Linked DNA regions of Yarrowia lipolytica. The protein of the gene in region 2 interacts with the protein of the main gene of each other region in a pairwise test. Links are inferred from orthologs where the notes say so. Each region holds a gene or a part of one and is shown on either strand. Other genes may lie near its edges. The genes, in order: YALI1_F09456g and YALI1_F39885g.

The links.
Region 1: the proteins of YALI1_F39885g (region 2) and YALI1_F09456g interact in binary tests that used the Saccharomyces cerevisiae proteins (3 or more experiments, as listed by UniProt). The link is inferred for Yarrowia lipolytica from reciprocal best matches to the Saccharomyces cerevisiae genes TAF1 and TAF4.

Annotation. Positions count from the first base shown.
Region 1 is NC_090775.1:943,726-947,448, forward strand, and holds YALI1_F09456g (uncharacterized protein), read left to right. Parts: upstream 1-1,968; coding exon 1,969-3,066; downstream 3,067-3,723. Other genes in the region: YALI1_F09481g (uncharacterized protein), read right to left, coding at 3,332-3,723. UniProt on the Saccharomyces cerevisiae protein: Functions as a component of the DNA-binding general transcription factor complex TFIID. Binding of TFIID to a promoter (with or without TATA element) is the initial step in pre-initiation complex (PIC) formation.
Region 2 is NC_090775.1:3,984,604-3,990,240, forward strand, and holds YALI1_F39885g (uncharacterized protein), read right to left. Parts: upstream 3,987-5,637; coding exon 744-3,986; downstream 1-743. Other genes in the region: YALI1_F39844g (uncharacterized protein), read left to right, coding at 1-555; YALI1_F39891g (uncharacterized protein), read left to right, coding at 4,574-5,637. UniProt on the Saccharomyces cerevisiae protein: Functions as a component of the DNA-binding general transcription factor complex TFIID. Binding of TFIID to a promoter (with or without TATA element) is the initial step in pre-initiation complex (PIC) formation.

The DNA.
Region 1 (3,723 bases), about 3.0 Mb from region 2:
TAGAGACGGAATTCGCACAGATGATGTGGTATTGCTCCTATATCTCCGACCCCCCTCTCTCATGCATTGCATCTTGCTGTGGCGCATTATCTGTGTGACCCCGATAAGACGTTACCCGGAAGTGGATTTGGGGCATGTCATGTGAAATGGAGCAGACCAGGCCTGGGCGAGAGTGTGTCATATGACCAAAGGGGCATGAGGAGGAGGTGGGTAGTTAAATTGGTTGTATTTACAGTTATGTCGGGAGCTGAAGGGTGGTTTTGGAGGCGGGTGTTTTTGTTTGTATGTTTGAGTAAATTTTGGCATTAAAAATGAACAAAAATTACGTAAAATAAACAAAAATCAAGGGAAGTAGATATAGTTGTCATTGACGTATTAAATGGGCATTGGCGGATTATAATGGACTTGGACGGATTAGAATGATCATTTCACGGCTACAAGTACCGTAATGCTTGATATTTAACAACAGCTGATTCTCTTCTATGAGCTATAGTAGCTACTGTATGTACAGTACATACTGTACTTACTGGTATGTTATAGTAAGAGCTTCTGGTACATAAGTACATTATGTATTCGTAGTCTATAGCGTCAATATCCTACTCGTACTGTACTTACTGTACTGTAACTACGATACTATGAGCTAACTATCAGCAGACCCTTAGAGGAATACTTATAGCTAAGGCAAGTGACAAGAATGCTCATATATTGACCAATAGTATTCAATACAGAGAAGATACAGACAATGTACCAGACGAGATCTCTTGTATGATTCAGTTAATGTCCCATAATTGGATGGTTCATAGCAGACCCATCTGGGAAGAAGATATCTGAGGGCTGATACCAGGACCTCATCATGACCAATGATAGCAGGGAGTATGTTGTGAACCAAGTCAAGTTCTGCTCCACATTGTAATCATTCACACAGCATCTACGAGTACATACCGTGTACTGTACTTCCACAGTCACCGCTGTTCCGATAAAGCTAGGAATAGACCAGGAGATGGTAAGTATAAGTATGTATGTTTTGTATGTATGTACATACTGGACAGTATGTACCAGTTCTATCAGTTACTACAGTAATTAGTCCAATCCACTCAATCACACTGGTGGTCATTTTTGGTAACCGTTGATCACTTGAAGTTGGCCATCTCACTGACCTATAGCCCGATTATCATGATGTACTCATGCCACCATGAAAGCCCAAGTAGGTACAGTCTTGCTCTCTCACTTCCACCAGTGGTATCAAAGATGAGTCACTCTTGACAATACCGCCGTTCGAAGACTTCAAGGAAGACTACGTGGTCATCCGAGGTATCGACACATGTCTCCACCAGTGTCTGTGGTATCTCACTGGGTTATCAACTATAGCTACGTTCAGTACATTACATACTTATGATGGTAAGACGTTGAACATTACGTCATGTTCACCAGCAAAGTGATATGGGAGGATGGTAGGTTACGGAAGTATATATTAGAGAAGGTTCTGGTGGCTCCAATTTGAGGGGTCCTGCAACAGTACTTTGAACCAATAAAATGGGCTGTAATTTTTCATAATTACTGATAATACCACCAAGCAGAGGTTTATCAAAAAACTGAGTGAAAATATTATCACAATGACATTCTAAGACCTCTCATAGACATACCCCCATCCTACATACAAAGAAAACCTTGATTGCTGTACAGTGTGGTATTATGTATTGTACGATACGATTCTAATAAATTGCTGTGTGAGGGAGTGCTCTAGGGATGTCTCATTGAGTATTAGCAAATCTTTTTGGGCACAAGAGCACGTTTGTTCCGTCATTCTGCTCAATCCGCCTATATAAAGCAGTTCTCTTCTCCCTCCTCTCACCGTCTCCAACATGACACAGCACCACCTCACATACTCCCAACCTGTGAAACTCTGTCCTGCCCTGTGGTGCAGGAGCAGACCAAATCACTGTGTCTAACAGCTCCTCATCCAACAACATGTCTCAACGCGACTCAGCTTCGCCACATCCGCAGGCCTCGCCGGGGATGGCCAAGCAGGAGCCCGTGCTGTTGCCCGGCCGGGAAAAGTCGCCGCCCCAGCAGCTCCAGTTCCACCAGGAGTTCCCCAACAACAGTTTCAAGCGCACTTCCACGTCGGCCATGACGCCACCAATCTCCAAAAAGCCGAAAATGGCGCCGCAGACCTTCAACAACTACAATGCGTCTAACTATGGCCAGTTCCAGGCGTCACCCATGAACTCGGGCGCAAATACACCCATTCCACAGCAACAAAACATGCCGCAGAACCAACAGACACAGAACCAACAACAGGGAGGCCCCGGCGGACAGGGACCCGGACAACCACTCGATCCTGATCAGCTCAGTGACGTCATTTCGGCGGTGGGTCTTGATCTCAAGCAGGAGGAGGCGCTGTTGCAACAGGGAGTGCCCCAGGCCGGCTACGGCATGCAGCAGCAGCAATACGGATACAGACAGCAGGGACACGCGCTGCTGGACCAGAAACGGGTGGCGTACACGGTCCGACAGCTAAGCCAGGAAGCTGGCCTGCGATTCAACAGTGATAGAGCCGGAGAAACGGCTTTGCTCATCTCGCACGCCTGTGAGGAGTGGCTCAACCAGATTCTGACTCAGGCGCTGGTTCTGTCGCGACATAGACGGCGATCGAGAAACTCGGTGCACAGTAGCCTGTCACGTGCGCTCAAGGGTATCGCTGTCAAAGACAAGGAGCGGGAGGACAAGCGAGCAGAGCGCAAGAACCTGCTGGGTCTGGATCACGCGGAACCCGAGTCTGCAGCCAACCCCGAGGACCAGCAGCACAAGGCTGCCAACATGACGGCCGCCATGATGTCTTCGGGCAAAAAGAAGTACTCGTGGATGGCAGGAGGCGTGGGAGCCAGTGCTGGAGGAATGCGAATGGGCCAGACAGGCGGAGGCAGAGGCGACTCGGCGATAAAGACACGAGAAGCCAAGGAAGAACCCGGAGTGGCCCTCAGAGATTTGCTGGGAGCCCTAGAGAAGGAGAGAGCAGGAGTGGAAAAGGCCATCGTGAAGGGCTATGCCAAGTTGAGAAATTAACCGTCAGAGGTGAGTGGTTGGTTTTGTAAAAGAGAAGTATAGCTGAAGGGCGACCATCAAAATCATTAGTGTGGATTCATTGAAGTGATTGGAGGAGGAGGATAGCTTCATCGGATAGGCTCCGTGGTTGAAAGAGGTAAAGCTTTCCAGTATGTTATGGAAAAACTTATTGACAGCAGCATAAGAGCTAGGATACAGGTATAGCAAATAACGAAATGTATATTATATGATATGATGGATGGGATTGTACAGGTACAAGTACGCGTCATAGAAACCATCTGTAGGCGAAATAGATGACTGTCCAGTTTATGACGGCGGAACCAAATATGGTCCCTATGACAATTGCATCTCTCCAGGTGAACTTCCGTTTGGGGGCCTCAAACGTCTGCTCATGTACTTTTTGTAAAATCCCTTTTCTAACGTCGAACACATACTTTTTGGCACTTCCCATGACCATGACGTACCGAGTTCCCCACCAGGGGTCCCTGTGACTCCCTGTTGATCTAAAAAGATGCTTGATCCACGAGGAGTGCCGTGCTGGAGAGCTGTTCAAGTTGGCCTGTAGACAGTAGTATTTCTTCTTACCAAAGAAGGCAAACAGTCCGTCGTAAACCACAGCGTGTCGCAGGTCATTCAGACCAATGTCGATGGGCACAA
Region 2 (5,637 bases):
ACTGGCCACTCTCTAGGAGCTGTCACTGCTCTATTCATGGGCATCAACCTGAAGAATCTTGGATATGATCCAACGCTAATCAACTATGGGCAGCCTCGACTTGGAAACAAGGCTTTTGCAGACTACGTGGACGCTCTGTTCTTTAAGCAAGGAGACGACGGACTTACCATCAACCCCGAAAGACGGATGTACCGAGTCACTCACTGGAACGACTTCTTTGTTGGATGGCCCGCTGGTTATTCACATACTCTGGGAGAAGTTTACATCAGTGATCCCACAGGTATTAATGCTCCTATTGAAGATGTCTATTCCTGCGCTGGACCAGAGAATAATCAGTGTCACCATGGATCATTCAATCTTCTAGAACGACTCAACATTCTCAAGAACCATTGCGGTTATCTCAATTGGATTTTCTACTGTGCTATCAATGTGGACAAGAGAGAGATGATGATTGATCCTCCCCGAGTTGGCAAGAGAGTTGAGCATTGGAGTGGCAAGTTTTCTGATGTTGAATCGACAGAAGGCCTGATGTATGAGGCCATTTATCCTATGTAATTGAATCACACCAACCTTTTCCGAGCCATTCTCAAACACTTATACTTAATGAGTATTGTTAATACTGTATGTGCAGTACATACTGTAGCACCATAACCGACCACTGTTTTCTCTTGTTTGTACGATTTTTTTACGTCTTTACCTGTGCAATAATACATAATAATTTACTATTCCTCCATGCTATACAACTACAGGTTGGCAGGTCCCTCGAGTTGGTTGTACATGGGACAACTCTTGTTGGTTCGAATGTGGCCATATGCACCACAGTTCTTGCACTGTCGCGGACCCTTGCCTTTGCCGACACCCTTGCCTGAAGGGGGAGGAGTGTCGGTGCCGAGGTTGATTGTGTTGAGACCCTGCTTCTGGGCCTGTCGCTGCTTTCGTCGCTCGCCCTTCTTTCGCAGATCCTCCAGCCGCTCCTCCAGCAGCCGCTTGTTTCGCTTGTTGGCCTCCTCGTCGTTGGTGGGGTCTAAGTCGTCGAGTGTTAGCTTGGCCTCGTCCATCAGCTTTCGTCGTCGAATGTATGCTCGAATGACACTGGGGTCCTTGATGGTCTCGACCTTTCGCTGGATGATACCGTGCTCGTCCTTGACCATTCGCGTGATTCGCAGCACCTTGTTGCGCTGCTGCATGGCCGAGTCGCCTGACATGAGCGACATGTTATCATCGTCGGGGAAGGCTGCGCTAGTGAAACCAGGCGTAGACACCCGCTCTTGTTGTTCTCGCTGCTCCTCAGCATCGGCCCATTTTGAATCTTCGTCGTTCTCTTCAGGTACCTTGGTGTTGCTGAGAGCTCGACACTGGGCATACCAGATTCGGCTGATCTCATCGTCGTATGCACGCTGCTGGTGGGCCACGTTGTACTTGTGTCCGCCAAACTTGCTCTTGTCAAGCTTCTCATTGACAGACTCACCAGCGGCCTGAAAACCACCCTTCATGGAAGTCTTGAGGAATGAGAAACCCTCGCCTCGACCAGAAGGATCACCCTCGCCATGCAGCTGCAGCATGGCCTTGCCCTGGGTAGCGTTGATGAAGTTTCTGGTCAGGTTCCATGGAGCAGACTGCTCCTCCAGAGAAAGACCAGACTCCTCGCCATTCTCATGGTCGCTCTCAATGTCGTCAGTTCGACCATATCCAGCATCCTCAAGGTTCTGAACACCAACCTGCATGGCCTCCAAGAGAGTGATGTCCTCGGGTGTGATCATGGTTCTGATGCCGTCCTCGCCAGGAAGAGTATCGGTAGGCTTGACCTTCCAGTAACCCTGATCCTCACCTGTTCGCTGATACTCCATAAACTCCTTGAGCCTCTGTCGGTTTTGAGTGTCAATCTGATCAGGGAAATGTTCGGCGATATCCTTCACGTTGATTCTATGATAAGGTGATGCGTTTAGCACTCGATAGACAATCATCTTGAGCCGGTTTTTGGAAGCCGTGGTTACCTTTCGAGAGTGTGGCCCGGGTACGTCAGTCACGGGGTATGTTTGACCGACAGTGAAGACATGTGGAATATTTCTCAGAAAGTACTTTTGGCCAGCCCCAGTCACATCGCCTCCAGTTGATCGGATCATAAGAAAATCTGTGTCACGTGGTGTATGCTTGAATACGGGGGCTCGGATCATCTTGTTGTACAGAGTAGGCACAATCTTACCCGGCTCGACGAATCCAAAGTTCCAAAAGGGAGACTTGTCCTGGACCGACAGAACATGTGTCTCTCCAACGGGGAGCTTAGGTCGGGAAGTATCCTCAGGAGAAGCTTTTCTGTAATAGTTGATCATCTTAGAGCCCATTCCGTAGTTGGAGAGGGTCATGGGGAATTGCTCAGCGTACTCCATGAGGAAGTACTGAGCAGAGTCACCCAACGACAAGTCCGTAGTCTTGGCCAAAAGATCCTTGATAGGCTTTCCCCTGTCTCGCTTCTTCTTTCGGATCTTCATTCGCGAAAAGTGAACAGTAGTGTTGGGTTTCACCACAAATGATGGCCGATGGAACGAACGAGCCTGAGGCTTCGAGATTCGCACTTTGTAGAATGGACTTTGCAGTCGGAGAGCTGGCATGGAGTGATCGATAGACAGATTGCCAATAGTGGCTCGTACCTTGCTCTGTGTGTTCTCCTTGAGCATATCGTAGGCTCGGTCGTTACTGAGGTTAAATCTGTTTCGAAGCTGTAGTTCGGTGGAGGGAATGGCAGGAGTCACATTCTTCGATACACGACCATCTGTGTTGATGAACAGTAGGTTGGGGTCGTTCATATCGAGGTTGACCTTCTTCACCTGACTGAGAGCATCGCCTTCAAACAAGGCCTCGTCGTTCCAGGCCTCTTCGTTTCTGTGCACGCCGAGCTGTGGAACAACCTCTTTTTGTTCCTCCTTGACCTTTTCGCCCTCGCAATCCATATCCACGTCTCCATCCCCATCATCCTCATCTCCCCACGTGATCTTCCAGTCAGTAATGTCGAAATGCAGCTGCTGGTCTGTTGCTGATTGTGTGGTTCTGCTTTCTCGGGCCAGTTCCTGCTTATCGTCCCCCGTCTCGGCCTCGGTGACTGTTACAACACCCGGTCGCCGCTTAGCATGGTCCACCCACACTGTTCCTCGTGTCATCTTACGCTCATCTGGCGCCACCTCCAGCTTAGTCTTTGTGGGGACACACGGACGAGCAGTGTTAGGCTTGGGCAGACTCAGAACAGCAAACTTGTTGTAGAAGAGCGAGTTCATCTTCATAGGCTTGCCCTTTTGGAACCCGGGGAAGTACATTGCAAGCATGTCAAGATCAGCCTGACGCGCCATCTGTGCAATTTCCTCCAGATTGAGCTCCTGGATGTTCATGTGTTGGATGTCATCAAATCCAGAGGCGTCCATCTTGTCGGCAGGCCCTAACTTTCCCAGTTCGCCTAGCTCATCTGCGTCAAGCTTCATGTCCAGCCCGTCGCCTCCAGCAGCCTCCATCTCCATCTCTTCGTCTGACTCTCCAGGTTCACCGGCATGCACGACATGGTTGTTGCTGTTGGCATTGTTATTCAACATTCCAGCATGGACAACACCACCATCATCGTACTCGTCCATCACAGGCAGCTCGTCCATTTCGTTGCCTCCCCAGCTCTGGCTCCAATGTTCGTCATCTCCCAGATCAAATCCTCCAAGCTCATCCTCGCCAATGTGGAACTGGAAGCCACCCAGGCTATCGTTCCCAGACATGGATAGACCAGCTTCCTCCTCGACAATCATCTCCTCATCCTCCTCAATCACGTTGTTTCCGGTTGCTTCCTCCTCTTCGGGCAGCTCATCATCTGCCAGCTCGTCTTCGTCCTCGAAATCGATGGCGTCTGCGGAGTGTTTGATGGCATCTGCACCATCAAGCGATGGGACAACACCTCCAACGTTGGTAGGGTCGCCACCGAGTGCTCTGGCCCAGTCAGCGTCTTCGTCGGCCATTTCTGTTTGTGTAACTCTTGCACGGGGTGTAAATGTAGCTGCATATTGGATTTAAGATTCAGGGCTAGGGTTGATTACATAAGGCTAGCGGATGAAGAGCATGCTATCTAGTGATAGATTGGATGATGACCAAATCCAGACGACAAGGAAATATTTCTAAATGGTGATAAAGGGAAATGGCCATTCGATTTTGGACAGTTTGGTACATTGCCACGAGTCTTTATTGAGTCAATAGCCTCTCGAGGTGTATATAAAAGTCAGCGCATGCACTGACCCGAACACATACTGTATAACGTGTATGATTAAATCCTAACATTTATATAACCAACATACCGACTACTTGTAGATTCTATATTACTTTGTACACTAAGCACTTTGTGAGTCATGTCTTTGTTACAAGTATTGGTTGCTGATCATCATTATCCTCACTCCTGTTGTTGTTATGAAGTGTGGTTTTTATAGTTGGGTTTCTTCTCCTGCATATCAAGATCTTTACGCGCTGGGTCAAGCTTAACAAGTTCAGAAGAACTCATTCACTACTCAATTTCGATTTTTTGGCACAACGAGCTGTCTTTTGGACTCGCCACATGGAAGACAGATTACAGCAAAGGGTACGGGAGACTTTGTCACTACCGAAAGTCTTCGACCGGCTGGACTCCTATTTTCTATTCTTTTCGGCATGGTACAGACGCGTTTCCAAGGACTACACATTACAAGAACCGGAGGAATATGAGAAGGAGCGTCAGAATGCCGCCTTTATCGTCGACAATGATTCAAACACGGGCGAGGAGGTTGTGAGAGTGACCAGAGATCACGTGCCTTGGGTGGTGCTTGCTGCTCACTTCATGACGGGGTGCTCTACGAATGCTACTTACGTGAGCGAACTGCTAGAGAAACGACTCAACATTGGAAGAATTCCGAAGGAGATGGTTGAGAGTATCATTGCATGGAGTATATCTGGCATGCATATGGACGAGAAGCTGGCATTGCAAGCTCTGGAGGCACGGCTTGACGAGACGGAGAGTGGCAGGGCCTTGACCCAAAGCTTGAAGGATAAGATGCAGAGGACGATTTGGGACAAGGTGTTTCAGCATCATCTGAAGAATTCGCAATTAAACCCAATCTGCGAACGACCCGGAGTTGTGTTTTTTGCCCTGTTTCCTTTGTCTAACGCGAATGGATATTCTCTGCTCTTCATCGATTATCTCACCAAGGCTGCCACATTCAGCATACCTTGCAAACCCAAAAACGCGCTGGACCTGATCAGGGACATTCGGGTCGCCGTTTTGGATCATTTAAGAGCATACGGACAGCCCTTGGCCCTAATTTGCATGAACCCCTGTCGAGGAACGAACGGATGGCTTGGAAGCGTACTTCAGAAGGCATTCAAGCACATGGTACCTTTCGATACGGTAGTGTCCATCTACGAACTTCGGGCCCGCTCACTTCCATCCCGAATAGCTGAAGTTTTCGAAGAAGCAACTACAGCTGTGAGAGACCCCAATGATACCTTGAAAAATAGCCAACCATTCTGTTTCCTCAGAACCCAGAACACCCACGAGACTTGGGAGCATCTCGTGTTGGGCCATTTTATGACTCTTCAGAATCGCTCCTTTGTAAGACATCCTCGAGACCTGGAGTCGGGTGCTAC